4 linked regions of the Rhinolophus ferrumequinum genome follow. The protein of the gene in region 1 binds, or shares a complex with, the protein of each later gene. Links are inferred from orthologs where the notes say so. Each region holds a gene or a part of one and is shown on either strand. Other genes may lie near its edges. The genes, in order: CNOT2, CNOT7, CNOT10 and CNOT8.

Evidence for each region.
Region 2: CNOT2 (region 1) and CNOT7 share a complex: the UniProt entries of both Homo sapiens proteins name them as parts of the CCR4-NOT complex. The link is inferred for Rhinolophus ferrumequinum from reciprocal best matches to the Homo sapiens genes CNOT2 and CNOT7.
Region 3: CNOT2 (region 1) and CNOT10 share a complex: the UniProt entries of both Homo sapiens proteins name them as parts of the CCR4-NOT complex. The link is inferred for Rhinolophus ferrumequinum from reciprocal best matches to the Homo sapiens genes CNOT2 and CNOT10.
Region 4: CNOT2 (region 1) and CNOT8 share a complex: the UniProt entries of both Homo sapiens proteins name them as parts of the CCR4-NOT complex. The link is inferred for Rhinolophus ferrumequinum from reciprocal best matches to the Homo sapiens genes CNOT2 and CNOT8.

What each region holds. Positions count from the first base shown.
Region 1 is NC_046293.1:66,019,811-66,027,744, forward strand, and holds the start of CNOT2 (CCR4-NOT transcription complex subunit 2), read left to right. Parts: upstream 1-4,928; 5' UTR 4,929-5,041; coding exon 5,042-5,046; intron 5,047-7,934. UniProt on the Homo sapiens protein: Component of the CCR4-NOT complex which is one of the major cellular mRNA deadenylases and is linked to various cellular processes including bulk mRNA degradation, miRNA-mediated repression, translational repression during translational initiation and general transcription regulation.
Region 2 is NC_046287.1:72,513,077-72,520,741, reverse strand, and holds the start of CNOT7 (CCR4-NOT transcription complex subunit 7), read left to right. Parts: upstream 1-4,651; 5' UTR 4,652-4,881; intron 4,882-6,362; 5' UTR 6,363-6,456; coding exon 6,457-6,573; intron 6,574-7,665. UniProt on the Homo sapiens protein: Has 3'-5' poly(A) exoribonuclease activity for synthetic poly(A) RNA substrate. Its function seems to be partially redundant with that of CNOT8.
Region 3 is NC_046300.1:18,102,076-18,109,798, reverse strand, and holds the start of CNOT10 (CCR4-NOT transcription complex subunit 10), read left to right. Parts: upstream 1-4,722; 5' UTR 4,723-4,990; coding exon 4,991-5,012; intron 5,013-7,723. UniProt on the Homo sapiens protein: Component of the CCR4-NOT complex which is one of the major cellular mRNA deadenylases and is linked to various cellular processes including bulk mRNA degradation, miRNA-mediated repression, translational repression during translational initiation and general transcription regulation.
Region 4 is NC_046307.1:25,681,572-25,688,497, forward strand, and holds the start of CNOT8 (CCR4-NOT transcription complex subunit 8), read left to right. Parts: upstream 1-3,907; 5' UTR 3,908-4,337; intron 4,338-5,572; coding exon of another isoform or gene 5,573-5,620; intron 5,621-6,926. UniProt on the Homo sapiens protein: Has 3'-5' poly(A) exoribonuclease activity for synthetic poly(A) RNA substrate. Its function seems to be partially redundant with that of CNOT7.

The sequences.
Region 1 (7,934 bases):
TATGAAAATTAAAAAACTGATATGGAAATAATGAAATAAAAATAATTGTAACAGTTACTTCTACAAGGTTGCATGAATTATCTTGTATTTATCCTGTTGGTCCTTTGTAAACTTGTAAATTTTTACTAAATTGGAATTATATTTTAAAACTTTCTTCACACTTAATATACCATATTGATAAAATTTTCTCCACATCATTTTTAAAGGCTAAATACTGTTCTATTGTATGGATGTAGCTTATTTAACCAATATTCTAGTAAACAATGCAGTAATGAACACTCTTGCAATAAAATTGTTATACATATTTTTATGACACATTTCTAGAAGAGGAATTGTCCTGTCAAATGCTCATGCTCAAGGTTTTTGATATACAGAGGGTGCCAAAAAAATGGATACACATTTTAAGAAAGGAAAAAACTATTAAAATTTTAATACTCAATATATACCGATAACAAAAGATGAATACAAGTCATGTGTATATGTATTTTTTGGCACCCCCGGTATATTGCCAAACCACACCTTAGAAACGTGCTAATTTATACTCAGTAGTATAAGCTGTTTCTCTGAACCCTTGCCAGTATTATCAAGACATAATCACTTGATAAAATAACACCTGAAGACCAAATTAATGTGTAACACGTTATGTCGCTCCTAAGTCAGACTTGCTATTAAACTTTTACAATATTACCATTCAAAGCTTAAGATTCTTACATATATTTTAGATGATAAATCTGAGATCCAGTATAATAAATCAGACTACTATTTAGTGGGAGTTTCTGCCCTAGATATTATATTGCAGCACTCTTTTTGATTTGCCGTTCTGTCTCACCAATTACTTTATCTTTTTTCTGTAATAACCTTGTAAGTTTCCCAGAAAAAGGTACATATCTTCATTATCAAGAGCTGCAAGCTAAGCATATTTATTCCATTAGTTTAGCACTATTTTTCCTAGCTGCTTCCTAACTTGGATTTTATACATTATGCGTTGAAGGAAAACTTTCAAGACATTTACTTAAAAAGTCTACCTAATCTTGGATAAGGATTTATTTCATTAGTTCAGTGGTTCATTTATTCAGTCTCACACATGTAACTACTTATCTAATGTGTACCGTGTGTGGATAAAGCAGTGAACAAAACAAACTTAGTCCCTACTCTCATGGAACTTACATTTTTTAGTAGGGTGAAGGGAAACATAATAAATAAAAATGACAAATTACAAATGCTATTAAGAAAACAGAGGGTCATGTGAGAGAGAATGAATGCAAAAAGGAGCTACTTTAGATAGGGTGGCCAAGTAAGGCATGTTAGAGATGATATCTGACTGAATTAAGACCTGAAGGATGAGAACGTTAGTCATACCGTGTTTCCCTGAAAATAAGACGGGGTCTTATATGTATTAATTTTTGCTCCAAAAGACGCCTTAGGGCTTGTGTTCAGGGGATGTCATCCTGAAAAATCATGCTAGGGCTTATTTTCCGGTTAGGTCTTATTTTCAGGGAAACAGAATATATAGTCATAGAGAAAGCATATCTCACAGAAAATAAAATAGCAAGTGCAAAGGCCCTGAGGTGGAGCATCATTAAGTTCAATTGAGAACAAGAGACCCTAAATAGTAGCTTTAATAAGATAGTTCACTTTTTCCTTACATCAAAATCTGAACGTAAGGAATGCAGGACTGGTACGGTACTCCACAAAGGTCTCAAGCCCCAGGTTTCCACCAGCTTACTTTTTGCCATCCCTAGTATGGGAGAACTTGCCCATGGCCCAAATTGGCAACTCTTCCAGGGTGTAGGATATAAAAGGAAAATGAAGTAAAAGCCTGAAGGTGTGCAACAGCTGTCTTTTAAGGATGGTTCTGGACGAGTGCCACATGGCGTATCTGCGGATATCCGATTGGCCGGAACTACCACAGGGATATATGGAGGCTGGAAAATATAGTCTTTATTCTGGACAGCCATGTGCCCCCGTCTATTACTATGAAAAAAACAAATTTTAGGAGACTACTAATAATAGTCTGTGCTACAGACTGGGAAAAGCTTGGTACAAGTCAGAAACAGAAAGGCAGGCTGGGTAATAATAAAATGAAGTTGGAGAGGTAGGCAGGAGGCAGATTATGCACTTTTAAAGGCTGTGGTTAAGAAAACTGGATATTATTCTAAGGGATGCTATTGGAGGGTTTTAAACAAGGGGGTGGCGTAGCCTTACAAACTTTTAAAAATGATTGCTCTGGCTGGTATGTAGAGAATGGTCTGAAAGGGCACAGGGAAAAGTGGAAGCAGAGCGATAGTGGATATTGCTGTGCAAGAGATAATGGTATCTTGGACAGCGTGGTGGCATCAGAGGTGATGAGAAGTGGCTGAGCTCAGAAAACACACAAGAGCTGATGGTACTGGATGAGGGGTTGGACCCAGAATGTGAGGAATCACAGAAGATTCCTAGTTTTATGCCTTAGCAAGTGAGCAAACTGTTGGTACTGTTTATGGGACGAGTTTGGATTCAAATGTTCTAGTGCAGTACCTGTTAAATTTGAGATACCTGTCCTTTTCATTCCTTACCATGGTAAGATTTTCAGTATTGTCTACAACTTTTAAGAAATGTGAGGCCCTCCTTTCCTATAACTAGTTATTTATAAACTCATTTTTCCCCTAATAAGGAATTTTTCTCTCTATTGAAATCAGTAATTTTTCTATGAGATGCATAAGGAATTTACCTTTCACACATTTCAAACAAACACAAAACACCTACAGGGTATGGACTGTTTTATCCACCAAAGTGAATAATAATTTTAAAAAAAACCTATCTACCAAACGGGCAAATTTGATCAATGTTAGCAATAAAAATGAACTTTTTCATGCAATAGGACAATTTTAAAAAATGTATCAGAGTGCTTACTATAAGTTCCTAACAAATGTTAGCTCATTGAGTACTTAGAAGCAACCTCTAAGGTAGGTATTAAACAAGCTTTACAAAATTTTAACAGATTGGACACCAGTGACAAAACAATTTAAAACTTGTTCTCCAACAAGACTTAAATTTATCCTAAACAGTGTTCTCAAGAAAGCAACAGTATCAGTATAAACCCTACACATTTACTGTGGAAATGTTTGTTGTCTTATTTCTTTCAGTAAGATGTCCAAGGTAACAAAACCTCCAATTAGACCTGTCCCCTTCTAGAAGTGATTTCTTCAATTTTACCTATGTTTATGTTATTAATTTAAAACTAGTGCTTTTTTGAGTAAATATAGGGATGTTAAGAATAAGGTACATCTTTTGGTCTTAACAAAGTCCTCTATGTGAGTCAAACTAATAAATGGGAAGTAATACTTGATGTTACTATATACATATCCACGTATCCCATTTTTATTATTCCATCTTATGATTCCAAATATTAATAGTTATACTTTCAAATTATTAACAGATTAAAAGGCTCAGCAATACACAGATATATGTATGACATAGAGGTGTAGTCAGTCTTTTAACACATGATCTTACATAGAAGAGAAAGCTTAGGAAGCAGAAAGGAACTACTGGGGGAAAGGGAGGAAAAAGGGAGGGAAGAATATAAAGAAGTGTTAGTCCTTGAATTTTCCTGAAGTAAAAAACACAGTGAAGCAGAATGTTTAATGAAATGAATAACCAGGCAAACATTTTCTACTGGCTACATCAGCACCATTTGGAGTTTAAATAAATTTACACAGAAACTACAAATTCAAAGTACCTTGTATTCTGTAAACATGAGTCACCTTTTATTTTATAGTATGCTTATTTTCTTCCTATTTATGACTGACAGATGCCCTTTGACCTTCAATGATAAAATTTTAAATTGGATTACAGTGAGTTTTGGGGGAGGAAAAGGTGATTTTACAGAAGGAACAAAGGAAGTAGAAATTTTATTTACTCCAAATGAATTGTACTTTACATTAACAAATTCTATCACCGAAAATAGAAAGAAACAGTTTTTACTTTATGAAACTACACAATCCCAAAACAGACATGCAGAAGCTCTTTTTAAGTCCAAAAATGCCGCGTAGTAACAAAAAGGGAAGAGTTTATTAATATACAAAAGAATAAAGAGAGCTTTATTGTTTCAAAGAAAGAAATTTAATTTCACTTTGAGAAACAATTACTTCTCTGGAAAGCAGAGACTTCTCATTCTCCTGAAGTTGCCACCACAAGCACCGTAATTTCCAACGGTCTTGTAGACAGCCCGGCCGGTCACTCGAGCCTACGTGGGGATCGGGGAGTGGGGGCGAGTTCAAGTGCCACAAATCTAACTGCTGGCGCAAGCTCACCCAGAAGGGCTTTAAAAACCTGCTCCCCAATATGCTCCCTCCCACCAAGTTAAAAAGGAAAAAGAAGGGTGGTGAATAGAAGCCACCAGTGGTTTCAGCAGGGGGAACTCACTTCTCAGGTGAAGGTGACGTGCTGCCGGTCCCTGGAAGTGCGTGCACGAGCACCGGAGGTTGCGGGGGCTGAGGGAGGAAAGGGGGAGAGCGATCAACTTGCTTCACGTGCTGGGAGGGAGCAAGGCCCCCGTTCCAGGCTGACGTGGGGGGAGGGCGGGGTGTCGGACACGAACACAAACACAAACACGCTCGGCATCCCCAGGGAGGGCGGACCCATGCCACCTCACCAGTCCCCGCCCCTGGACCCTGCGGCCCACCTCGCACCCAGTGCCCGTGCCCAGTGTGAAGCAACCCTGCCTCCGGGGAACTGTAGAGGCCGCAGAGGCCCCGCTCGTTATAACGGCCACGGAGAAGCTAGAAGCCTCCGGTGAGTTGGTGCGAGACAAGGTGGAGGCCGCAGAGGGGGAGGTGATGAAGTGAATCACCTCTCCCCACCTACAGCCTAACGCGCGGGAAGCGGTCTACCCACCCCCAACCCTAGCCCGTAGGCAGCCGCCGCTCCCACCTTCCGCCGCCGCCTTGAGGGAAGCCGGAACGACGGGGGTCACGGCGGGGGTCAGAGGGTAAAGGTCTTGCTCCCAGCAGCCTCTGCGGTGGATACGTCGCCATCTTGGATCCGCGGGACAAGAAAATTCATGCGGTGAGTTTTTGGCAAATTTTCGGAAGTCTGGCGGCGGGGCGCGCGGCGGGGGCGGCGGATTCGGGGCCCCCGCAAGGCAGGGGAATGCCTCGGGGCCGGTCCGGTCGCGCCTGGGGTCTGCGGGCAGCGTCCCGGCCCTCCGCTTCCCGTTGCTTTTGTCTCGGCTCCAATCGAGAGAGGGAGAGTGGAGCGGGCGGGGAGGGGGGGGTGGCGGCGGTGGAGGGAGGGAGGGGGTGTGTATGAGGAGGGTGGTGGACCGGACGTAAAGCGTCGCTGTACTCGGGTCGCTGCAGCGGCAGCTCTGGATCCTAGGCCCGGTCCCTTCGGCCGGCGCTGGGGCTTCCCCCAGACTCGGCTCCCACGGGCTCCCGCCGGCACGGAGGAGCCTCCGCCGCGCCGCTTCCTGGGGAAGAAGAGAAGGCGGCAGCGGCGGTGGCCAAGGAGCCCGGGCCCGCTTTAGACAGTACTGCCGCCTTCCCATCACCTGCCGCGGTCCCTGGCTGTTCACATACTCTCAGTACACAAACATCACCTGCAACTTGTGTGTATGTGTGTTTGTGTAAAAGATGGGGAACACTGGACTGGCTAACGGGCCTCAGGCGCCTCCAGGCCCTGGGATACCGAAGGCTTCGGATGGTGGAAGGAGTGCAACTGTGATGCTTCCTCCGCTACCGCACCCGGAGGGTGAAGCTTCCGTAGTGGTAGAGACAGTCCGGAGAGTCCTGGGCGGCGGAGGAACCCGAGACGCTTCTGTCTGTTAAGTTGCTAGCCCTAGGTTTCTACTTCCGCCGGGGCCTCTCCACCTTTTGCTGTCTTGAGTCTAACTTAAAAGTTTTACGGAAGAAAAGAGTGGTCTTAAAAGAGGCTCTCCTAGTTCTTAGTTGAGGCTCTGTGTCCGTGGAGGAGAGAAAACCTGTAACTCTTGGTGACTGAACCTTTTTGAATGCGAGTTGTAGTGTTTTTTTTTTTTTTTCAATAAAAGCATTTCCAAGGTTTTAGAATTTGCATTTATTCCAGGCCCTGTGAGTATGGTATTACCACCATAAAAGTCCTACGTGCGGGTACCACCCTCTCGGAAGGAACCCAAACATCAACTTCCTTTGAATCCTAGGAGATGCCTTCACTTTTCAGAAGACCGAATGCAACAGTTTTGTTTCATTTTCATAAAACTCTTGGCCACAGAATCCTACTCCTTTCTTAATCTTCGGGATGGTTTCTAATCAGTATAAAAACATTAAGTGTACACTGATACCAACTCTTAGATGATTTGCGAAATGTAGAAGGCACTGAATTAACAAAACCTGTAAAGGAGAGAGGCCATACTTGAATTTTGTTCAAAGTTGAACACATTTCCTGTCTTGCTTGATATTAGGGATTTCTAGACCTCTGGAATAAGGGCATCTTTTGATTTGAAAGGATCTACGTATTTACATACCAGGTTTATGTTGAATTTTTAGGTAATACTTGCTATAGTTGACAGTATTTTTTCCCAAACGTCAACGAACACATCTCTTTGGCAATTATGGAAGATAACCTTACCCTAGATGTAAAGGGATTATTAAGAAACACCGTGAGCTGAAATGGTTAAATGCCTGCTACATTCAAATGGTTAGATGTCTGCATTCTGATCTCTCTTCATTGAAATACTTCTTAATGGATCAAGATCGTTAGTAAGCTTTGTATGTTCAACTCAACAGTTTGTAATTTCGTAAAATGAAAGGAAAAATACAAAATGCAGGTAAAAAGGCAAAACTGTTCCATTTTGTAAGATCCTCATTTAATTTTAAAAGGTTAACTTTTCTCTCATCCTTTCCTGGGGGCTTGAATTGCAGTGACTTCTGTGAATACTTTGTATTTTAGACAGGAACTGAGAAACTTTCACATTTTTGCATCCTAATTGGTGCTGCTGCATCAATAAAAATATATTCACCTAAGCATCATTTGTTGGCAGAACCCTTTTATTCTAAGTATACTGGGTAAAGATATCTGTAACCTAATCTGATACTTTTGGGGAATGAAAAATGCCTGTATGTTTAACCAAACAAATACAACTTTTGAAAATTTTTCAGTTTCTGTAATACTTTTGTTTTAAAGTGAATTTATATGGTGGGAAAATGAGGGCAAAATGTATAAGTGATTTACATCCCCTTTTTTTGAAAAGTACTTGACCTTGATTAAACTCAGAATATGCCTCCCCAAGAGAACTAATTACCTTTGTTTTTACTTAGTAACTTTGGATGTTTAATTTACTTTTTGATTTTTGAGATACTTTACAGTTACAACCTTGTTTGTTTCAAAGTAAATAAATACATTCATGAGTAGATTTCATTAGAAGTTCTTTGAACACAGTTTTGGTTTTTCTCTCTTCATAGATACTGGTATTAAAAATACTTTTTAAAGAGCCTTACAGAATTTTTCACAACCTGTGGGAATTACAGTTTTACCCTCCTTAGTGACAAATTTGCTTCATAAGATTTTCTGATAATAAAGAAAAGGTATGCTTCATGTCTATGTATGAAATGAGCAGATATTAATAGAGTAGTAAAAAGAAGTTAGTTAACTATTTTTTGCTCTTTAAAAGCAATGTTCAACAGTATTTTTTGTCTTATTTTAACTGTAGAAAGTTCATTCTATTAGAATTATGTACAAGCAAACTTTTCCATGTGCTTGCTTGAATAGCCATTTGAGGACAACTTATGCAAATAGTGATAGTCTTAGAAGATACTACTAAGATTTTATTTGTTACCTAGACCTCGAGTGGCTTTTGTAACACAAAGAAGCAAAAGAAACCAAGGTACCTGGTAGGGCAGTTTTACAGGCAGAGTTAATCTGAGTTGCACTGTAATGTTTGAATAGAATTACATATAGTATTGATATCAAGGAACCTA
Region 2 (7,665 bases), on another chromosome or scaffold:
CCAGAATTGAAATCCATGACAGTCTAATTACAAAGCTTTCATTCACTTAAGTCAGGCTGCTTTTCCCAACGTCAGTATTTTTGCTTACTTCTACTTATGTTGCTCAAATTCATTTTGTCTTTTATCAAGGAACCTGAGGAACCTACGGACTTTCACAGCCGGGCAGGGCATTAAGAATTCAGGTAGTCAATCTTCCCATCTCAGCAGACCTAAGGTTATGTGAACATCCAAGGTTCACTGCTAGTTAATGATATACGTCAGCATCGCCTGACTTCTGGTTCAGGGCTTCTTTCATTAAGACTATTAGTTATACCAGAGTAAATAAACAAAAGCAATTCTGATAAACTTTAACTCACAAATTAGATTTTCTTATTGAATATAAAATAAAATTAGCACCAGAATTACCATGTACTTGATTATTAAAATGAATGCAGAAATCCTTTACTTGAGAGAGCTAATCTCCCTAAGTAAAAGGTAATAAAGGATTATTTGTATAACTTTGAATTTACATAGTTAATTACAGATAATAAGTACCATTTACAACATAGCTCCAGGTTGTGGTTTTCCAACTAAGGAAATAAAATAGTAATAAAAATAAGCTAATTAACTTTAGATATTGTGAGAGAAGAAACCAGGACAGTTAGGATGGTAACTGTTAAAGACTATTAGTTTTTGATATTTCTTGATTGCAGGGGCAATGCAGGGAAATACTTAACAGCTTCACTTCTGAAGAATCTTTAAATATTGGGATTAGTGTCACCTGGGATATTTCCAGGTTGAAAATAGCTATTAGGTTGGTGCAAAAGTAATTGCAGTTTAAAAGGTTAATTGCAAAAACCGCAATTACTTTTGCACCAACCTAATAAAAAAGTGACGGTTTATTACATGTGCTGCCGAAGCGAGCGATGGTTTATTAAGCTTACACTGCAAGAAGCCCAGAGACAGGAAGGTCCCAGAATTGGTTAATTCAGCATCACAATATTAGCACAGGCATTCCATCTTTCTACTCTTCCACAGTCAATACAGTCAGCTTGTATTCCTTCCTGATCCAAGCAGTTCCAGATGTCCCAACATGACAACAATATCCAAAACATAAGAGAAACATCTTTTAGACATCTGTATTATTGAGAAAACATATTGAGCAGCTCCGCAGCAGACTTCGACTTCTCCTTCAACTCCCACTGACCAAGGTTAAGAGTCCTGCTTTCAAAGTAACACACACAGGGCATGAAACCACCATCACTGGCATAAACAATCATTTACCTTCTGCGGTTGAAAGAGCATAGCCTCCATTGAATAAGTATGTGGTCTTGCAGGCCCAGAACCCAGATAAAAACAAGTGTTCTTCAAGAAGTCAGGGGAAATGGATATGAATGGGAAGCTCCCTTCGAGTGAGCTTCTTTAGGAAGTAGTAGAAACAGAATTAAGTTCTACTCCTGCCCAGAAAGTCAGGAGTTTTAGGTGGTAAATTACATAGTATGATGACTGTTATTCAGAAAGCAGAATATATTACTAGAGCCTAATCTATATAACTTTCAATTTCCATTTTACAGCAAACGTGCTTTGGTTAAACACTTTTTTTTTTTTTTTTTTTTTGGTCATATGACAGTTTCCTATTTGCCCTGCCTCTCCAGTAAGACTTAGATGAGGAAATACACATAAAATTTAGCTAACCTTTAGAAGAGTCCTGAGGGAGATGAGGAAAAATTTTTTAAGGTAACAAAAAAAGGAGTTTACATTTAGTAGAGAAAGGGAATTAAACAAGCTCTTTCCCAAAGTGGAATTTTTTTCATTATAAGGAATTGAAAGATAAGACTTGGAAAATAGATGAGAGAGAATGGGGTGGGAAAAGGTTCTTGAGGGCAGGCAAAAAAAAAATGAGATACTTTCACTGGCAGAAAAGAGCTGTTGACCTTACCTTTGGAGCAGGGATAGATATGATAACTGAGGGAGGTGGGCTGCATAAACAGGATATTGATATTCATAATTTAGAAAGTTTTTGTAATATTCATGAAAATAAAATACCATTCAAAACATTCTTTCAACTTTTAGAGTGTACCTTCAGAATAAGCACACAGTGTCCTTCTATACAAAATTCTTTAAATATAAATTGTATACTGCACAGATTATTTTTACCAGCTAGCTTTAAAATGTATGTCATGAGTTAAAAGGGCAGATTTAACAAAATAGGTGGATATCATTTTTTCTGGAATAGTACCATTCCCTGAAAACTGGAGGTATATGACCTACTTACTTAATTATCTCCAGAATTCCAAGTTTAGTTTATAAATGTGTAACATTTCAATAAAATAAAAGTTCAACTATTTTCATAAAAGAACTTAAAGGAAGAAAGAGTCCTTAAAATTAGATGTTTATAACATTACAAAATATGTAGATAATGTCACATGATCAATTATATGTCCAAAATTTCTGGCTCAAGAAATAAAAGTGATCCTTTCTGCATTTGACTCAAGAGCAGTTCCTTTCTGCAAATGATCCTTTCTGCATTTGACTCAAGAGCTGATGCTCTTACCAATTCCAGAACTCCTTAGATTAGCAATTCCTGTTTTAGAATCTTATTTGGGAAGTCAAAAAAAAATACATAATACATTCCAAATTGATCACTTCTCCTATTTACCAGCCTTAGCAGCAAAGGACTTGAAATATTTCAAAAATTCCACTCCAACCTCAAAGAACAAAAATTTGCCAGCAGTGACAATATTTAACACAATATACTAAAGGCTTAAAAACAATTAATTCCAAAGGTGTGGTTCTAAGAAGTATTTTGGCAATAGTAGTATTAGTTTAGTAGATAGTCTTCTAAGGTGACACTTTTTAAGAGGACAAACTTTTGTTATGTTTGTTAAAAATGAAGCATCTCTTGTGAGAGTAGCTCTTACAGGTTAGTGCGGAACACTGTTTAGAAGACTTCTAAGAACTCTATGAACTCAATTTTCCAAATAGAAAGCCACCATTAGATCAAAGAGTATACCACTCCTTCCTGTTAAATACCACAAATTTTCATCTTTTGAAAGTTCTGAACAAGCAGAACAACTGAGGCTAAAAAAACCAAGAAACAGCCGAAGTTTAGACAGCAATAGGCCTTATTTTAGCGAAATTGATTTTGCAATGAATTTTTCTTTTAACTATCTAATTTAAAACTATTCTATACTATAACTTACTTGCTTGGGAAAATATTAATGTAACAGATAAAATGGCTCCTAATAGTTCAATACTTAGTCGATTTTATTAACTCAGGATATATATTTTTAAAATGTATGAATAGTTTATTTTAAAAAGGGTTATAGTTGAGCGACGTTAACATCTTTACATTAAAATACATGTTATGACACTATTAAGTACATATACTTGCATAATTCATATAATATAAAGAGGCAGTTCTAATTTTTGAAAACCATTAGAGGCCACAGATATGTGCAATATAAAAGGCGGCAGCCATACCAGATTACAATAAAAACAACTGAAATCACTTGAATTGCAAAATATTTCTAATCTGACCACGAAGAAAATGAAAAACTCATAAAAGACAACAGAGCAGTCAGGATGAATATAAGACAACTCCTGAGTGTGGAAACAGTGAGGAATGTACAGAGTGGTAGTTGCCAGATACAAGGACGTTGTTGGAACAGCGTGAATCTTAAATTAGAGACTTAAGAGGATTGAGTATGTTTCTCCCAGAGAACTCGCTGATAAAAACTTTGGCTTCCCTCTCCTTTGCTGTTGCAGTTTTTTTTTCCCAAAAATTTTCCACTCTTTGTGAAACGTGGATATTATTCGTCACAATTCTTTTTAGCCAAATAGATTATTTTAACAATTTGGCTAAAGCGGCAATCAGCAGGCGAAAGGAAAGATTAGTGAGGAAGAACCTGGAAAGGAATGTTGGATGTAAACCATAAAAGAGATTAGTCAGCAGCGATGTGTCAGGAGGAATGAACAAGTCAAAATTAGAAGAGCTGAGCAGTGTTGGAGCAAGAGGGAGGGACCTGGAGGGTCCAGAGGAAAAATCCTGAACATAGGTCTGAGATGGCAGAGCAAATGTGAGACCTAGTACGAAGGGAGGTGGATCAAAATGAGGCAGCTGCTGGAGAGTCGGCCTGAGAAACTGTGAGTGTGATTAGGACCAGCCCGCCCTCCTGCCCTACTTTTTCCTCCTGTCCGAGAGGCAGCGACCAGTCACCTGGAGTGTGAGTTCCGGAGGGACTCGATCAGGCGCTGCTTCTGCTGTTGGAGGCTGGTGAGGCCACCGGGGGAGCCAGCTGCGGAGGAGGAGGCGCTCTTGGTCAGCGGGAAGAGCCAGCTCATCCTCCACGGGTCCCCGGGCCCGAGGCCCTAGACTGTTCTGGCCTGCTTCTCCCAGCTACTCAGCCCGGTGGTTCTCCAGCGACAGAAGACCAAGGCGCCGGAGGCCGGGGCTCCAGTGCTGGGCGGCCGCGTCTTCTCTAAGCAAGCCCGGCTGGGGGTCCTCGGGTTTTGGGGGGTATGCTATGACTACAGGTAACTGGAGAGAGGAAACTTGCCGCCCGGAACAGGCAGCCCTACCTTGGCGGCCCTGACGCCAAACCAGCCAGTCAGGCAGCTTCACAGCCCAGAGCTTTAACCACCCCAGCCTCCGTCACCTGCGTGCCCCGCCCCCTCTGCGTGTCGCGTCATCATCTAGCGCCCCCGCCAGGACGTTACGAGAAGCGACGGCGCAGCACGGTGCGGAGCAGCTCCGGCTCCCCTTTCCCCCTTGCCGGGCGAGCGGTGTCTATGGGGCATCCGCTGCCGCCGCCGCCGCCGCCGCTACCGCCACCGCCACCGCCGCTGGGTGCTGTCTCTATGGCGAGGAGGAGGAGGAGGAGCGCGAGCTCAGTGACACAAGTAGATCTTGCGTCTGCCGCAGACCTGCGGGGGGAGGGGCGGTTTGGGGAAGTAAAAAGGGGGTGGGGACGATGAACCTGAGAGGGTGCGCGATGGCGCCAGCTGGAGCTTGGCTGGCGAAGGACTGAGTTGGACGGCGGGCCGAGGCGGGGGAGGGTAACTGGGGCTGGGGTATGTCAAGGAGTTGGCGCGGAGTGATGACGTAAAGGCTTTGTACCTGGAGCTTCGATATTGTGGGATGGAAATTGGGGGTGGAGGGCGGTGGCCTTCATGCACAGCTAGCTCCACGTATTCCTTCGCGCACCAGTGCTTGGGAATCAGTCTGGCCCCAATGAATCCTTATCAGCACCTTCGCGCTGGCTCTGTGCCAGGGAAGGGAGTTAACTGACTTGAATGCTTCTATACTGTCCTCTCTCGTTTCTTTGGGAGCCTGCAGTACGGAGACTTTACCTACAGTAATGAGAAGGTTTCTGGTGCCTCATCGGAGCTTCTGGAACCGTGGTAGAGAGAGATGAAGTAAAGCAATGTTAAACAATAGGGTCTTTCCAAAGTGTGTGTGTGTGTGTGTTTCTTTCCAATGTGTGTGTGTGTGTGTTTAGCGTAGTGGACAGGGTTATAAAAGGGAACTCCCCTGGCTCTTAGAGCACTCGGTTACATTTGTTACTGCAGCGTTTAGAAGGGGGAGTAGTGTAATTCCCTCTTTTACCTTTGTTAAAATTTTTTCAAACTCCTTGTTTGAAGAATTTCCTTGCTCAAGAATCAAAATGTTGGTCTGTACTCTTATCATCATATACTATGCGACCAGTATTTATGGGCCAGAGAGTTGAGATTTATGTTTGGTAACCAGGGAAAATGCTCTTGAGTTTTAGGAAATTAGAAACAGTTTGAAATATGGACACACTATTTTCTCCTTTCTCTCTCCTGCAGTTATGAACATTCAGTCTCTGTGGCTATCTGTTACAGCTTTTTGTTGGTTTACTTTTGTCCCCTCCAATCTGGCTTGAATAAATGCCAGTAAAGGAGATTTTGTAATCAAAACAGATTTTGAATGTTTTGTTAATGAGGAATAAAAGCAGACATTATCTCTGTCCTAGTAGCATCTGATAGTCTCACATGTATATCAGTATTTCACCTTTCATATTTTGTCTGGAAATGGATGTCTTTACAAAGTTTTATTCAGAGAGTCAGTTGAAGTCACAGCAGTCTGTAATTATTGGAAAGTTTTAAGAAATGATTAGTATGTATACATAAAAAATACTATTTTTACGTAACATTGGTATTAGAACCAGGAAACTTGTGTTGTGGTCCTTTTTTTCCTACTGATTAGATGTGTGACTTTAGAAAGGTCACTTCCCAAACTTTGATTTTCTTATGAATCAAAGACTTTGAATAAATAATCTTTTAGGTTTCTGTCAACTCAATTATTCCATAATTTCATTTTCTGATACAGCTGGGTTTTATTTTGGTTTTTATTATGACAGGTACACAAATAAAGGATAAAGTATTTTATGAAACAAATCTTCAATCAAATATAATATTTTGATGCTTGGCAGCTAGACTTCTTGTGCCCTCACTATGCCAGCAGCAACTGTAGATCATAGCCAAAGAATTTGTGAAGTTTGGGCTTGCAACCTGGATGAAGAGATGAAGAAAATACGTCAAGTTATCCGAAAATACAATTACGTTGCTATGGTATGCCTGTGATCAAATATCCTTAAAATACTTCTTATAAAAGGGGAAGAAGGATTTTTAAAGTCTTGAATTCGGCCCTTCTGGTTGATTTTTTTTTTCCCATGGATTTTATTATGAAAATTGTCAGTATCCTCCAACCAAAGACCACCTGGATCACACCTGTAATGTGACAAGTTGGGTTGATTTACTCACTGCGTGAGGGAAAACGCATACCTTTGGAGGATCTGGGGGCATTTGAATAAGACTGTGTTAAAAAGGACTTTTGTGTCAGGTGGTTTTAGGGAGGGATGAAGGAAGCCAGACTTTGCTCTGGATTGGATAGTGTCATAAAGCTGGGTAATTATATGATAGGGTATCTTAAGTCTTAACTACATTGAGAGAAGATGAGAGTGAAGCTAAAGCTATAAAGAAGCAACAGTTATGTTTTTGTTATTTTAGTTATGGTAATAGAGTGGCCTTGTCTGGTGTTGAAGTGTGAAATTGTTTATATTGGACAGAAGAACATTAGGACCTAGCTATGAGTGCCAGGTCAGCACCTAGCAACACTAAGGCCTAACTGATAGTACCAGATGAGCTCCTGTAAGCTAGGGAACTCTTGGATGTCTTTCTCAAATAAAAAAAAATCAGCTTCCCAGTGAAACATTGTTGATCTGCAGTTTTTTGTTTGGTTTTTTAATTTATTTTAGTTATCAGTGGAGTTTCATGAACACACTGCTTTTGCATATACTATTCAATCTGCCTGGACTGTCTACTCAGTTAATTATTTTGCTTCTTTACTACTGTATCTCATACATCTGTTATAGCCACTCTACCATTTTCTAGATAATCAGCTTTGTGAAGCAAAGGGTTAGTATCTTAATCATCCTTTGTCCTTCTGACATCTAGCATAACATATTAGCATCCAATAAAGTCGTTGAGTTGGACTGAATTTAGAGAAGTTTCCATTTTTTTACTCTTTATGATAACTTGGTATTTAGATTTTGTTCTTAGCTTCCTGATGTATCCTTTTCCCAGTATTTTTAATATAAATAAATATGCTCTGTGGGAAGGGGAAGGTTGATTGGTTGAAATACGAATATTTAAGTGTACATA
Region 3 (7,723 bases), on another chromosome or scaffold:
GCAGCCAGATGTCAGGTTTAACAAACAAGGCATTCAAAGCAGCCATTTGTTTTGTGTCTCAGCCTGTAGACAGTGATGCTATTGGCTAGAAATGTCTGGGAGCACTCACCATTTTCCTCAGTTTTGAGGCTGGCCCAGCCCAGTGGTGGTTATGATGTCAACAGGCCTCTCAGCAGCAACCATCAGGAAATTTTGAAATAAAAAGGTTTATGACTCATTAGTCCTGGAGAGTACTCAGCACACCTAGGGGCCACATACAAGGTCACAGTAGAGACAGAGAGCATGGACTAGGGGTTCTGCCTTTATGGGGGTTGGGGATGAGGTGCCTAGAGTTTTGTGGGTTCATTCTTTATTGGTGAGTTTAAAACATAAGAATGGGAATTAAAGTGTGAAGAGGAAAACAGGGTCACTCCAATACTAGCAAACTGAATTCAGCAACATATAAAAATTATGCACCATGGCCAAATGAGATTTACCCTAGGAATACAAGGTAGGTTTAACATCTGAAAGGCAATTCTTGTAATAGTATAATATATCATATCAATAAAATGAGAAACAAGAACCACATAATCATTTCAACAGACACAGAAAAGCATTTGGCAAAATCCAACACCTTGTCATGAAAAATACACTCAACAAACTAGGAATAGAAGGGAATTCCTTAACCTAATAAAGCACCTACAAAAAATCCCAAAACTAACAAAATATTTAAATGTAAAAGACTGGACGCTTTCCCCCTAAGATTTTTATTAGTTTCAGGTGCACAAAACAATGTAATAGAGATTTCACCCCTTCCCCAATCTATTGCCCCACTGAAGGATGTCCCCTCTTTCTATTTCTATTCAAAAATGTACTGAAAGTCCTAGCAGGGAAATTAGGCAAGGAAAAAAAAGGCATCCAGATTGGAAAGGAAGAAGTAAAACTCTCTCTATTTGCAGATGATATGATCTAGTATATAGAAAGTCCTAAGGAATTAACTGAAAAACTGTAAGACCTAGTAAACAGGTTCATCAAGGTTGCAGGATACAAGATCAGTATACAAAAATCACTTACGTTACTATCTACTTATAATGAACAATCTGAACTGACATCTGCTGACACATGCTACAACATAGATGAATCTTGAAAATATGCTAAGTGGAAAAAGCCAGTCACAAAAGGTACACATTGTATGGTAATTCTCTTTATATGAGATATACAGAATATTTAAATTCTCAAATGGTCAATTTGAGACAGAAAGCAGATTATTGATTGCCAGGGGCTGGGGGTTAGGAAGAATGGTAAATGACTAGTAATGGATACAGGGTTTCTTTTGAGTGTGATGAAAATGTTCTGGAATTAGTGGTGATGGTTGCACAACTTTGTGAATCTACTAAAACACCCCAAACTATACTCTTCAAATAGGTGAATTGTATGGTATGTGTGAATTATATGTCAATGTAGCTATTTTTTTTAAAAGGATGAGCAAGGATGAGCAAAGAAGCTGGTGAACATGAGAATATGTCTAAAACACATATACAACAACAACAGCTAAATTAGGGGATGAAAAGCATCATAGAATTAATATAATTATTGGGGTTGTGTGCTCACACACAGAATAATTTTAATTTCAAAAAGATGAAGAACTGCAGTTGATGAAAACATATTGAATATATAAAAAGCCATAAGTTCAGAGTAATTTTTTGAAAAGGAAATAGTTCTGGAGATTGCTGGAACATCAAACTTATTCCTCTGAAAACTGATAATTATAGGGAGAGGACTAAACATTCATCCTGCCTTTCTGTAAACTAAATTTCAGTGTAACCAAATATCCCTGTGGATAAGGAAAAGTTTTTCAGTACAGAAGAATTCTAGGTAGGGCTGGGAGTAGGGTAAACTGAGTGGGTGCCTAGAGAATGAAATTTAAGAAGGCACTCACATAGCCCTGATTCTAGTTAACAAATGCATGAATATCCAAATGAGAAAATTATTTCAACCATTAGTGAAATAACTGGTTCAGACAGTGGCCATTAATGCTTCTAAAACCACTAGGAGAAAGGCTGATAGAAAACGGATAAAAATCAGGCTGTCACTATCTGAATCCAAGGATCAATGTTAACGTCACAAAAAGTGAGACAACCAACCTTCTGTGCCTTCTAATGGGGTTGCAGAACGTACACCTAGGAAGAAAGCACCACCTAGGAAGAATTCTCAGGAAAAAATTTTTTGACTCATAACATAATCAAGCCTTTAGAAGTAACCTGTAGTCCACAGGAAATATTGAGCATAAAGGATGCAGTCACAAGGAAGCGATATGCCAGGGATCTTATACTGGATTCTAATTTCATCAGTAAGTCAATGTAGGGAATAATAAAAGGGGAGCGAACTGTTCTAGATTAAGAGAAACACAAGTAAAATGATCTTGCTTGATCCTGATTCTAAACAGAAATTACCCCCCAAAAAAAATTTACACTGTAGAGGTAATTTCAGTATGGTTTGGTGATTGAATGATATTAAAGAAATATTTTGAATTTTGTTAGATGTGATAATGGTATTGTAAGAAAATACTTGGATATTGCTTTTTGAGTTGCATGTCGAAGTGTTTAGAGGTGAATGATATGCTATCTGGGATTTGCTTTAAAACACTCCAGCAACAAAACATAATAAGGAGGACGGGGTAGATAAAACATGTATATGGTTAAATGATGCTAGGGAATGAACACATGGGATTTATTATACTTTCCACTTTTGAGTATGTTTGGAAGGTTTCACAATAATATTTTCCCAAAAAAATATGGGTACACCTTTATTCCAGAGAAACTCTTTTAACTGTTCACAGGTTTAAGAGTGAGCTCAGCAGCTGTGTTTGTAAAATGAAAATTGGAATTGACGTCAATGTTTGTCAATAAAAGAAGAGATAAATAGAGGTAATGTGACGAGGTTGTCTGTCAGCAGCCTTTCCCAGTTCCTCCCGTTTAATAAAATTCTGATTATATTTATTCCTCGCAGGAATGTTTTGTGGATGCATCATGATAAAGCCAAAACATGCATCGGAATCTCTTTTTGCCAGTAATTGCCTCGTGGTGGGCAGGCAACCAATTTCACGGATGAGATCTTAGGGGACATTTTGGTGAGAGGCGTCTAGGAAAGATTCACCATACTTCTTTGATTCTAAGACACAATATTTCTGTCATCTCTAAAATTGGCAGGCTTCTCACAACTGATAGCATCTCACAATCACTGTCTGACAGATGGCTGTTGTGTGTTATGTTTGTCATTCCCTGTGTATGCACGAGTTTGATCTGAAAACCTACCATTTGTGACATCTTCTGGTAAGATCTAGAAAGTGCCAGAATTAAAACCTGCAGAATGGGCCTTCTTGAGACAACACTATGTGAGGAGATGCTGTAGTGCCAGTGGTACTGAAGTCTCAAATGATATAGGCATTAATTATCTCACTGATGAGAAATCTGCAGGTAAGCTCTTCCATTGCTGAATCAGTGACTCAGCAATGCCAGGATGCAGTTCGACATTCCTGGGATTCTTTCTGTTTTCCCCAGTGGGCCCAAGATAATTGCCACAGCTCTGAGCATCATGCTCTCGCCTCACCATTTTCAAAGCAGGAAGGGGGAGAAGGGGGCAAAGATGACGGCTCTGTGACAATGTGGACAGGCCTTGAGAGTATTATGCTAAGTGAAATACTCATATGTCAGACAGAGAAAGACAAATACTGTATGATCTCTTATATGTGGAATCTTAGGGGGAAAAAAGAGCTTATAGATACAGGGAACATATTGGTGGTTGCCAGAAGCAGGAGAGGGGGTGAGGAGCACAATGGGAGCAGGTGGTCAAAAGATACAAACTTCCAGTTATAAAATAAATAAGTCATGGGGATGTAATACAGAGCATGGTGACTAGTAGTACTCTACTGCATATTTGAAAGTTGCTGAGAAAGTAAATCATAAAAGTTCTCATCACAAGAAAAAAAATATTTGGAACTATGTATGGTGATAGACATTGTGGTGATCATTTTGCAATAAATACAAGTATTGAATCATTATCTTGTACACCTGAAACTGATATAATGTTGTATGTCAATTGTACCTCAATAAAAAAAATTAGACAAATTAAAAGAAAAAAAGAATAGCCTAAGAAGACATGACGCATTCAATATAATGTGGTATCCCATTCCTGGAACAGAAAAGGAACATTGTTCAGAAAATGGAGAAGTCCCCCCGTAATAGTAATAGTACGGATCAAGGTGGTTTTTTGGATGTGACGGATGTACCATAGTAATTTAGTAACTAAGATGTTCACAACAGGGCAGACTAGATGGGGAGTATACAGGAATTATGTATCATCTTTGCAACTCTGTAAATCTAAAACTATTCTAAAATAAAACGTTTTGTTTTTAAGCGGGAACCGCAACAGTGCTTTCTCACAGAGTTGTGAGAAATCAATGAGAGACTAAAGCCAAGTGCAAGGTTCAATGCTTAGCACATAAATGTCAGGTGTGGTTATTGTGATTTTATGTAAAATAAGGAACAATTGCTTGGACACTTAAATATTTTAGTCCGGATAAGCAAAAGGCAGTGGCACGCAGGCCCCTCCCACCCTACCCAGCACATACCCAGAGGCGCAAGCGCGCGCGCACGCGCACATGCGCAGTGGGTGGGGTCGGGAGGACGCCAGCGTGGGGCGGAGCCAGCCACAGTTCCCACGCCGGCCGCGGCCCCCGGAAGTAGTGTGTACCGTGACTCGGGGTGGAGACTGTAGAAGGCGGGATGCAGTGGCGAAACCTTGGTGGAGACGGTGCTGCAGTTGCTAGACGACGTGAACCAGCCTTCGTCACTTCCTCAGCCCTCGGTCTGCCCACTCCGCTGGCCGGAACCCAGGGGCCTGGAGCAGGGGTGGGCAGAGTCGTCCTCAGAGGTCCAGGATAGCAGCCAGCCGGGCAGCTGGAGTCGAGGCCACGCCACCTGCGGGGAAGAACTCAAGCCGAGGCGGGAAGATGGCTGCAGACAAGCCTTCAGGTAAGGCGCCCGCGCCCCTCTCGCTGAGACGGCGGGACACGCGAGGGTGGGCCAGCCCTGCGCGCGGAGGCGGCGGGGCCCGGAGTGAGGACTAGGGGTAGAGGACTCGAGGGCGACTTTAATTTGGGCGTGCATTTCTCTCCCCTCTCTGGTCCCAAGGCCGTCGCTGAGGTCTGATAGCTTTTTTACCCAAGTGCAGCTACTGACCGCTTTTGCCCAGTTTCCCAGACTATCGCTGGCTGAAAAAGCTTGCATTTATTTGGCCGCTTCACAGACTTTTTCGATTTCCTAATGGGGATGGCAAAGCAAGGAAAGTTCACCCTGGAGCAAGCACACAGCTGCTCAGGCTAAGACTCACCTGGGCTGTTTTGGCCTCATCAACCTGCCTCTGGTCAGGTACATGCTATGTATAAGCTTCGTGTAAACCACTTATTTAAATAGACATGAAGTCATAGTGTGTGGCTCTGGTCTGTGCTCTCTAACATCCTGCGTTTAGAACCTGTTTTCCCTAGTTCCTCATGACTAGCTAATTTGATCTCATTGATTTTGTTTATGGATTACTGCCCTATTCCTAGAATCTTTTTCATTAAGGAATATAAAATTATTTCCAGCCTACCTCTGGGACGGTGTGGTGTATGTTTCCTAAAAGAAATTAATGTTCTCTGTGGCATCCACAAAGTTGGAAGTGGTCAACACTTAGACTTTACAGTGAAATTACTAAAAAAAAAAGGAAAAAAAAACTCAGTGTGCTGTAGGTTGTCCTAGGTCCGGATCTTAGTAACTGACAGATAAACTTGAGTTGATATTTTAGTGAGTCCATCCTAATACAAGTACAGATGAATAAAATTGGTAGAGAATCTCTTCAGTAATCAGCTGAAAAGAAAAAAAACAACAGAAAAAAGGTTTAGAAAGTTGAGGCTAATGGAGTGTGTTACAGAAGTTTAGATAGGCCGGTCAGGGAAAGCCTCTGGTGAGGTGACATTTGAGCAAACAGCTGAATGAAATGAGGAGTAAACCATAGGGAATGGGGGGGTAGGGAAAACGCTTCAGGGAATAAGCCTGACCTGCCCAAGGCTGGACCAGGGGAACCAACATCTTCATTCTTAATGAAGACAGTGTCTCTCTTCACCAGATTTGCCATTCCATACCTACTTGCCTATACCATTGCACTTGCCTGGAATGACCTTTTTAGGCCTAAAGCCCATCTAATTTTCAAGTCCTTCCTCAGTCATAAAGCGCTCTTGTACTTGTTCATTCATTCATTCGCAAAGATTGAGTGCCATGTGTTGCCTTAGATGTTGAAGAAATGAATATGACATACTCCCTGCCCTTGAGGACCTACTGTTCAGTCTGCCAGAGACACATCTAATGACACTCCCATTCAGTACAAGCTATGTAATATATCTAGGAGAAGAATAAAGTCCACAGTGACTTGTGGGCTGTTTTTTTTTTTTTAAAGATTTTATTGGGGAAGGGGAACAGGACTTTACTGGGGAACAGTGTGTACTTCCAGGCCTTTTTTCCAAGTCAAGTTGTCGTCCTTTCAATCTTAGTTGTGGAGGGTGCTGTTCAGCTTCAAGTTGTTGTCCTTTCGATCTTAGTTGTGGAGGGCGCAGCTCAGCTCCAGGTCCAGTTGCCGTTGCTAGTTGCAGGGGGCTCAGCCCACCATCCCTTGAGGGAATCGAGGAATCGAACTGGCAACCTTGTGGTTGAGAGGACGCGCTCCAATCAACTGAGCCATCTGGGAGGCAGCTCAGCTCAAGGTGCCGTGTTCAGTCCTAGTAGTAGGGGGCAGAGCCCACCATCCCTTGCGGGACTCGAGGAATTCAACTGGCAACCTTGTGGTTGAGAACCCACGGGCCTATGTGGGAATCGAACCGGCAGCCTTCGGAGTTAGGAGCGGGGAGCTCTAACCGCCTGAGCCACCGGGCCGGCCTGCGGGCTGTTTCTTTGGTTGGTTTAAGTTTATAGGCCATATTTTAGGAAACTTCCTATCTTGATAATAAGGTTGAATTCTGTGTTAAGTGGGTGAGAGTTTAGTGTGGCTCTCTTGAATCTCTCTGCTCCTCTCCATCCCCATTTCAATTGTACTAGGTCTGGCCTTTATCTCTCATTGTGATCAATTTCACATTAAGCAGCCTCTTGACTGATGTTTGTCTCTTCCTGTCCAATCCATTCTTCTTACTGCTGCCTTTTCATTTTATTTCTGAAACACTAATTGGATCATACCATTACCCTGCCTATAAACTTTCTAAGACCTTACCATCTTTTGTGCATCAAAACCTTACTCCTTAATGTCATTTGTGAGGCTCTTCACAGTCTATTTCCAGCTGAAGTTTTTATATCAACACATCTAGCTCTTCACGCCACAAATGACTCTCTTGGAAAGCATTGTGTTCCTTTGAGCTTCTGGGTAGTAATGCCCTTTTTCCTCTTCTGTGTCTGAACACTCTCCTCATTCAAAATCTAGTTTATATGCTCCTTCATCTCTGCGCTCCTGGGCCCAGGGCCCTTTTCATAGAGGGTCTTATGTGTTTGTTTTTCATTAGGTAGAAAAAAAAAGCCCATGAAAGAGTTTAGGAAGGTAAGTGACCTGACCACGCTGGCTATGGTAGAGGGTGAGTTGAAGTGAAACAAGACTGGAAACCCAGACACTAGCTAAGACTAGCTAATGTTGTCATATTTATATATTCAGTAAATATTCACCAATG
Region 4 (6,926 bases), on another chromosome or scaffold:
ACTAAGTACGATTGGTTGAATTGAGTAACTGGGAAGGAGGACCTGCTTGGAAAACAACCACCACTCACACATTCAGAATCCGTACTGTCCATCTGGTATAGGGAGTCCACCATTGTTTCCACAGCTATCTCCGTCACTCATGACAGCTGTCACCATGGTTTCAGCATCCGGCCATTGCTGTCCCTGCTCCCATGCCTGAGGGTGGAGCTGCCTGACATCTTCGGGACTCAGCCCACTGCCAGGCTGAGCCGATCATTTCTGTTCCTAAAATGCTGACCAGAGTGCTGGGGGGTAGCCAGGCAGCGACAGCGTGGGTCCACAACAGTGGTCTTGGCTGGTTGGCTCTGAGATTTGGGCCCAATTACTTCCTCCCTAACCTTCTAAAGCAGGGGAGCCTTGTACACCATAACTTGGCTCACCCTGGCCATAGTCTCAGGGGCCAGTGATGAGAATTTTGAGTGTGGCTTTAGTTCCTGCTTTCTGGGCTTTGACCAGGAGTTGCTGCAGCAACTTACCGGTTCATTCTTGCCAACCTGAATTCGGTAGCGGGCGATGAAGTTGGGTTTCCCAGTTGTGTCAACCACCAGTAGAAGCCCATTTAAGCCCCAGAAGCACAAACTGGGCACCTGGGTGGCAGCTAAAGTTGGAAAGCAGAAGAAGGTTGGTTGTTTAATCGGGGTGACTTCAGGTTCTCACAGCACATGGATTAACTGGACACACACTTGATGGTAACTGAGGCGGCACTGGGGACAGTCCCTTGCCACGGAGGTCTTGGTGCACAGGGCCAGGGGATCTACTTTTAGTCTTAGATGACAAACTAGCTGGGGGAACTTGAACAGTCACGTAAGGAGTGTCTCTACTTATTTTCTTAGTTGTAAAAGGGGGACAAGAATATTCTAGATGGTTGGAGACCCCCAAAAAGTATATGCTCTAAAATAGAAACGAATTTAGGTTGACAATTGGAAGTCCGTACCCACTGAATCCTTTATGAATTTCCATGGAAGGGAGAAGCAAAGGAAGTGCTTTGTATGTTATGGTTCACAGTGAGCCCTGAACTAGGAGTCAGTCAGGGAACCTACTGCCTGTCATCCTCCTAACTGAGCAGTGTGACTTCAGGTGTCCAGTCAGCATTTCCCAAAGCAGGAAACTCTCTCTCAAGGGGCTTCTTGGTTAAACAGCTTTTCTACCATACTGTCTTGCAGAGTCATGGTCGGGACTAGTGTGTTAACAGCTCTGAGAATTCCTGCAGCAAAGAAACTGTTTGACTTTGTTAAACTCAACCTTTCCCAGGCTTTTTTTTTTTTTTTTTGTAACCCCAGAACTCTTTTCTCAGAATACCTAATAGGATGGCCATGCATCTCTGTTTGCCCAGGACTATGTCGATTGACATCTGTCTTTCCAGTATAATTATTAACACCTCATTTACTCTCACAAATGTCCCTATTTGGATAATGTATTATATGGTCATCCCACAGCACTGTGTTCTGCAGGATGTATTAGCAAATACCGATCAAGACTTGACATTTAGAGAGCTTTTTGCCTCACATCCCATCTTCCCATGAAGTCATTCCAAGTATCGCTGATGTCCTACTGTGAACAAACAAGCACTTTGTCCACCCCAACTGGCAGTTAATCAAGTGACATCGCAATGTTACGTAACTCTTGTACTATTAACTTTCTTTGTCCATGTTTTCCCTCCTCTTAATTCATTATCCAAGGGACAAGGACATTTGACTTAACTCTGTGTCTCTGTGTCCCTCCTCCATCACCACACTGCCTTGTGGCAGTTGATTCCTGAAAAATACTTGGCCAGCACTGTGGGGAAATATGATTGGCACAAATATCCCAGAGGATACTAGTAGGAAATGAACTAAATAGATGAGAGTAATTACATACATTGGAATGGACTGGGCAGCTTAAAATGTTACGTAAATCTATATTAACTGACATGGAAAAGTGTCCACAATATATTTAACGAAAAAAAAAGTTTTAAAAAATTTGGTGTCTTATAAGTTCAACCATATATCCAGTTTAAGATCTGTATTAATATATTAACAGTGCTTACTTCTTGGATGGGAGAGAAGGGGTGCTTTTTCAGCTTTATGCTTATTTGAATTTTCTGGTTTTTATTTTAACAGTGAGCACGCATTTACTTTTATGTTCAGACATAACACACTTTAAATTGTTAGGTTTGTGGTTGCCTACTAGGAAATCCAAGGGTTCCTTGAGGAACACAAAATGCAAACCACAAAAAATGGTCTTGAACTTTCTTCAAGCTCTAACACTTAAAATTGCAAATACTTTTCTCTCTCTGATATTTTCTTATCACCTTGGTGACAGATAGTTTTCCCATCACTGTAACAGGAGTATATAGAATGTTTTCCTGCCACTTTCCCTATATACATTTGCAATCGGCATTATTCTTTTCAATGGCTACTTAAGATTGCATGGAACCTATTTATATTTAATTTTCAGAGTTGTCCTTCCAGCTGAAAACAATCGTCAGGGACATTTTATTTGTACTTTTGCTTTGTGACAACTGACCCTTTTTTATCTCCCCCTTTAGATTGTGACGTGGTTTTTTGATGGGATAGACTAACACTTTATCTTAAACATCTCTCTATCCTCGGTACAAATTTGGCACAGAGTAACATTAATAAATATCATTTGAATGAATAAATGTATGATTGAGGACAGTCAATATTGTAGATAATGCTGTTATAAATATGTTGAAATGGCTTTTGCTTCCACTATGTTTTCTTAGGCTTGTTTCAAGCCATTCATGCTGTCAGTAAATACTGAGTGACCACTTGCTGTCCAGCCTCCAAAGCTAGATGGCACCAGGTAGAAGGACACAGCCTCGCATGACATACAAGGGCTCTCTGCGCTTGTGGACCTGACATCTAGAAGCAGCATTACTGCTTGAAACATGCCTTTATTTTCACACAAACTATTTCTTGTTTTCATTTTTCTACTTTTGGGGAGAGGGCGATCTCCATTTCTCAACTTCTTTTCTTGGATAGCCTTGGACGTCTGTTCTAGATTGCCCACAAGCTTAGCAGTTTGGGGGTTACACTGTCTTAAACTTTAAATCCTTATTCCTTGTAATAATGAGCTGAGAGTCCCAAGGTAGAGAACAATAGAAAAAGAGTTAAACTATGATCACGTACGCAAACCCTAAGCCCTGGTGGTCTGGGAGGCTCACCTATTATGAAAAGGATCCACTCCTTTCCTTCAAATGTAGACAGCAACCTCTCCCACTCAGCTTGCCAGAAGTGGCCAGAAGCACCCCAAAATCTCTGAAGATGCCTTGAAAGGAAAATCAATCAGGTTTCTGGGTGAAGATTGATGGGCGGACAGCCCCTTACTTCACGCTTTGCCCCCAGACCACCACCACACTGTCCCCAGGTGCTGAATTCAAGCTGGTGGAGCAGACTCACCATGTGACTGAGTTCCAGAAGGCCACAAGCAAGAGAAGGCCAGAGCCCAGGATGAAAGCAGTCTTCCTCATGGAGCCCCAGATATGTCCCTCCTGGGGAGGATAAGAAAGTGTCAGGTCCCAGCTAGCCTCCTGCCTTCACTCACAGCTCACAGCTGAGGCCTGACAGGTGTGACAAGCAGTCAGGACCTCAAGCACGCGAGCATTGCACGTCAGTGACCTTTTCCCAGTTTCTGTGGGAGGCTCGTCCTTATCACGAGCTCTAGGGCTGTACATGGGTGTGTTTATGAAAACGAGAGGTCAAGGTTGGGAGAGGGAAAGGAACCAACCTGGCTCCAGAGACACTGGCAGGTAAGTCTGTCGCCCAGCCTTCCATCAGCTGTCTTCTTGTTGAACTGAGATGCCCAATTATGTACACATTGCAATCACCTGGGAGCTTTTTAAAAATCCAGGAGTCCAGGTCCCTCCCCAGCCCAAGGACATAGAGTGTTTGGGGTGGAGCCTGGGCCTCCAGGTTTTTAAAAGCACCCCAGCTAATTCCAATGGGCAGGCAAGGCTGAGACAGCCATCACAGAGAACCTGCAGAATCCGTCATGAGGACAGAGGGACTTCATTGTATTCAGGAGCCTGGCCTGTTTTCCCATCCCTATCACCCTCTTGCCCGTGAAGAAAAGAGTGAATGAACACACATGTTCTGCCTCTTAATGATCCCTCTGCCTTCCAGCGAGATCAGCCAACTGGACAGGACGATGAGCGGTTCTAAGGGCAAAGAACAGACCACTGGCAGTCGCTGGGAGGTCCTTCTCTGTTCTCCTCCAAGAGCCTAAAGTAGAGGTTATTGCAAGTGTGGTGCTCAAACGAGCTCCCAGACTTGGAGAAGGAAAACACTGGCCTCCAGGTGAGTCACGGGTTTCCCTGTGCCGTGGACAGGAACTACAAATGGCCCTCCCATCCTGTTTCTAAGCCCAGAGGAAGCCGTCCTGCTCAGGCTCTTCCATGGGACAGAACTGGAGGTGGCGGTGCTTATAGCTCTGTGCTGGGCTGACGTGTATTTAGGGAGCTGGGCCACTTACGAGGGGTCGGGGTGGTGTCGGGGTGGTGTCGAGGGGAGCTGATCAAACAGCACAGACACTACGTTTTAACCCAGACGTTTGAGATCTGAAGGAGCAGATTGTGTTGACTGACCCATTCAGAGCAGCCTGAATCTGCACTGAGTCATTTCTTCTTGGCCTGGCCTGTTCTACTCTTGATCAAAAGACCAAAAAGAAGGAGGTCATCTTCCATGGCCTGTGGAAAGTTTTTAAAGGGCTGGTGTTCATCTGGGTCTTGAGATCTAGAAATGAGCTTCTCTCTCCCTTGTCCCTCACCTTCTCCCTCTCCCTCCTCCCCGCTTCTTCCCTCCCTCTCCCTCAGGGCTGGATCCACAGGCCGATAGGAACTTGTTCTCTTACACAGGCCATTCAAAGGTCACCACCCCAAGCTTGTCAGGCAGGTTACCTTGGGCTTTTGAAATTATTCCTTTTCTTGGATTCAGAGGACCCTTTTCATGAACTTTTCCAAACTCACTAGGAAGTTTTCATTTGAGTTTAATCACATCAAGCTAAGTCAAGTTGAAATCCTCAATTTCACATACAGGATTAGATTTTTTTCAGGGATTATGGTGTTTTCTCTCCCTCCAGCACCCCAAGTGAAAGGACTATACACAGGACAAAGACCTCTGTGAAGTGCGGGAGCTCACAATGCAGAAGGCAGCTGAGCTGAGATCAAGAGTTGGTTCCCAGCCCCCAGTGGGCTTCTCTTGTCCCCAGGGCAGTGCTAGAAAGGTGTGGCTCCAAAGGCCCAAGGCATGGGACATTCTAAGGGCCAAGAGACCGTGGCAGGACAGCTATTGGGTTTTGCCACTACCCTCATGCAGGGCTGCTCCGTGGTGCAGAAAAAGGGGCTTTGGTTATAAAGCAGGTTGGGGTCAAGTGGTCTCAGCTCAGCTACTGAAATGAGCAAATCACCAAAGTGTCAGCTACCCCTAAACCCTGGGGGAGATGTCAGATGTGCAGCAAATGCAGCAAGCGCACACATGGAAAGAGTCACTGGCTAAATTCTCACCAGTTTGGTGGGTGGGGTGCTGGCATTTACCTGCTTAGGCTTCTCATCATGTAGCTTACTTCCAGCTTCTCCCTTCATCTGGAAAAAGAAAGCACAGTTGAGTCTGGATGTCATTTTTACACGCAACCAAGGGAATAGGAAAGTCAAGGGGAATGGCTAGCTGTGATTTTTAAAGCTGGCTACTCATTAAAACCACCTGGGCCCCACCTCCAGCGACTGAATTGCTCTGGGCATCGCTACTCTGAATCGGGGTTGGCAAGGGGACTTTGCCTGGAACTGGCTTTCTCAGGTATGGTCTGTGACAAATCTATTTTTTTTTTTTTAATAGCTTCACTCTGCCCCAGAACGACCTGTCTCATTCAGAAGAAATCTCTGTCCCCGGACCCCCCACTCTTCCCTAACTGCCAATAACCCGTGGCCCCAAGAAACCAGGACAGAAGCCAGGGCTCTGCCCCCTACCTACTTAGACAGCTTCCTTAACCTCTGTGAAGTCAGGTTACCACACATGGCCTGGATCTGTCATGCCGATTGAAATCGAAGCATTTTGCAAGCTGTTCAATGTGATTCAAACAACAGGTATATTTACAGGTAGAAATCATTAAGACAGGGAGCCTCAAAATCTGATACCTTTCTCAAGGCCATCTCTCCGTCGTGTCTGTCACTTACCGGTTTTGTGACCCAGGACTTTTTCAGTCTCTTCTTTATCACATTTCTTGGTATTCTTTTTAAGTGTTTTTGCAACAAACTTAAAGTGTTTCTACATATTTGAAATAACGCATGACTTTTCTGGGAAGGTGACAGCCTGCGACAGTGGCTGGGTTTGGTGGGCGGGCACTTGAGTTGCTGGACAGTTGACTTTATTGAGTATCCCACTACATATTTTATTACAAATCTTTAATAATTAAAAGTGTGTGGCTAGCCCATGAATAGGCAGACATATATTACAGATTAGAAAGTCCAGACATACACCTAAAAATATATATGGGAATTTAGTATATGATAAAGAGAAATCAATATAAATGGACTTTCAATTGAACAGATGTTGAACCTCCTCCATAAAGAGAAATGTGAATTAAAACTACAATAAAATATTACTTCTCATCCATGAGCATGGCAAACATCCAAAATTTTGACCACGTGCCCTGCTAGTGAAGCTAAGGGGACTTATTTGTATTTGTTCTTACACTTTTTACAAATAATCTGTATTGATACATAATTCACATGCCATACAACATATCCATTTAAAAGTGTACATTTACATGGCTTTTAGTATATTTACAGAGTTATGCACTCATCACAATTGATTTTAGAATATTTTCATCACCCAAGAGAGAAACCTGCACCCCCTCAGCCGCCATTTCCCATCCTCCTTTCCTCCCACCCC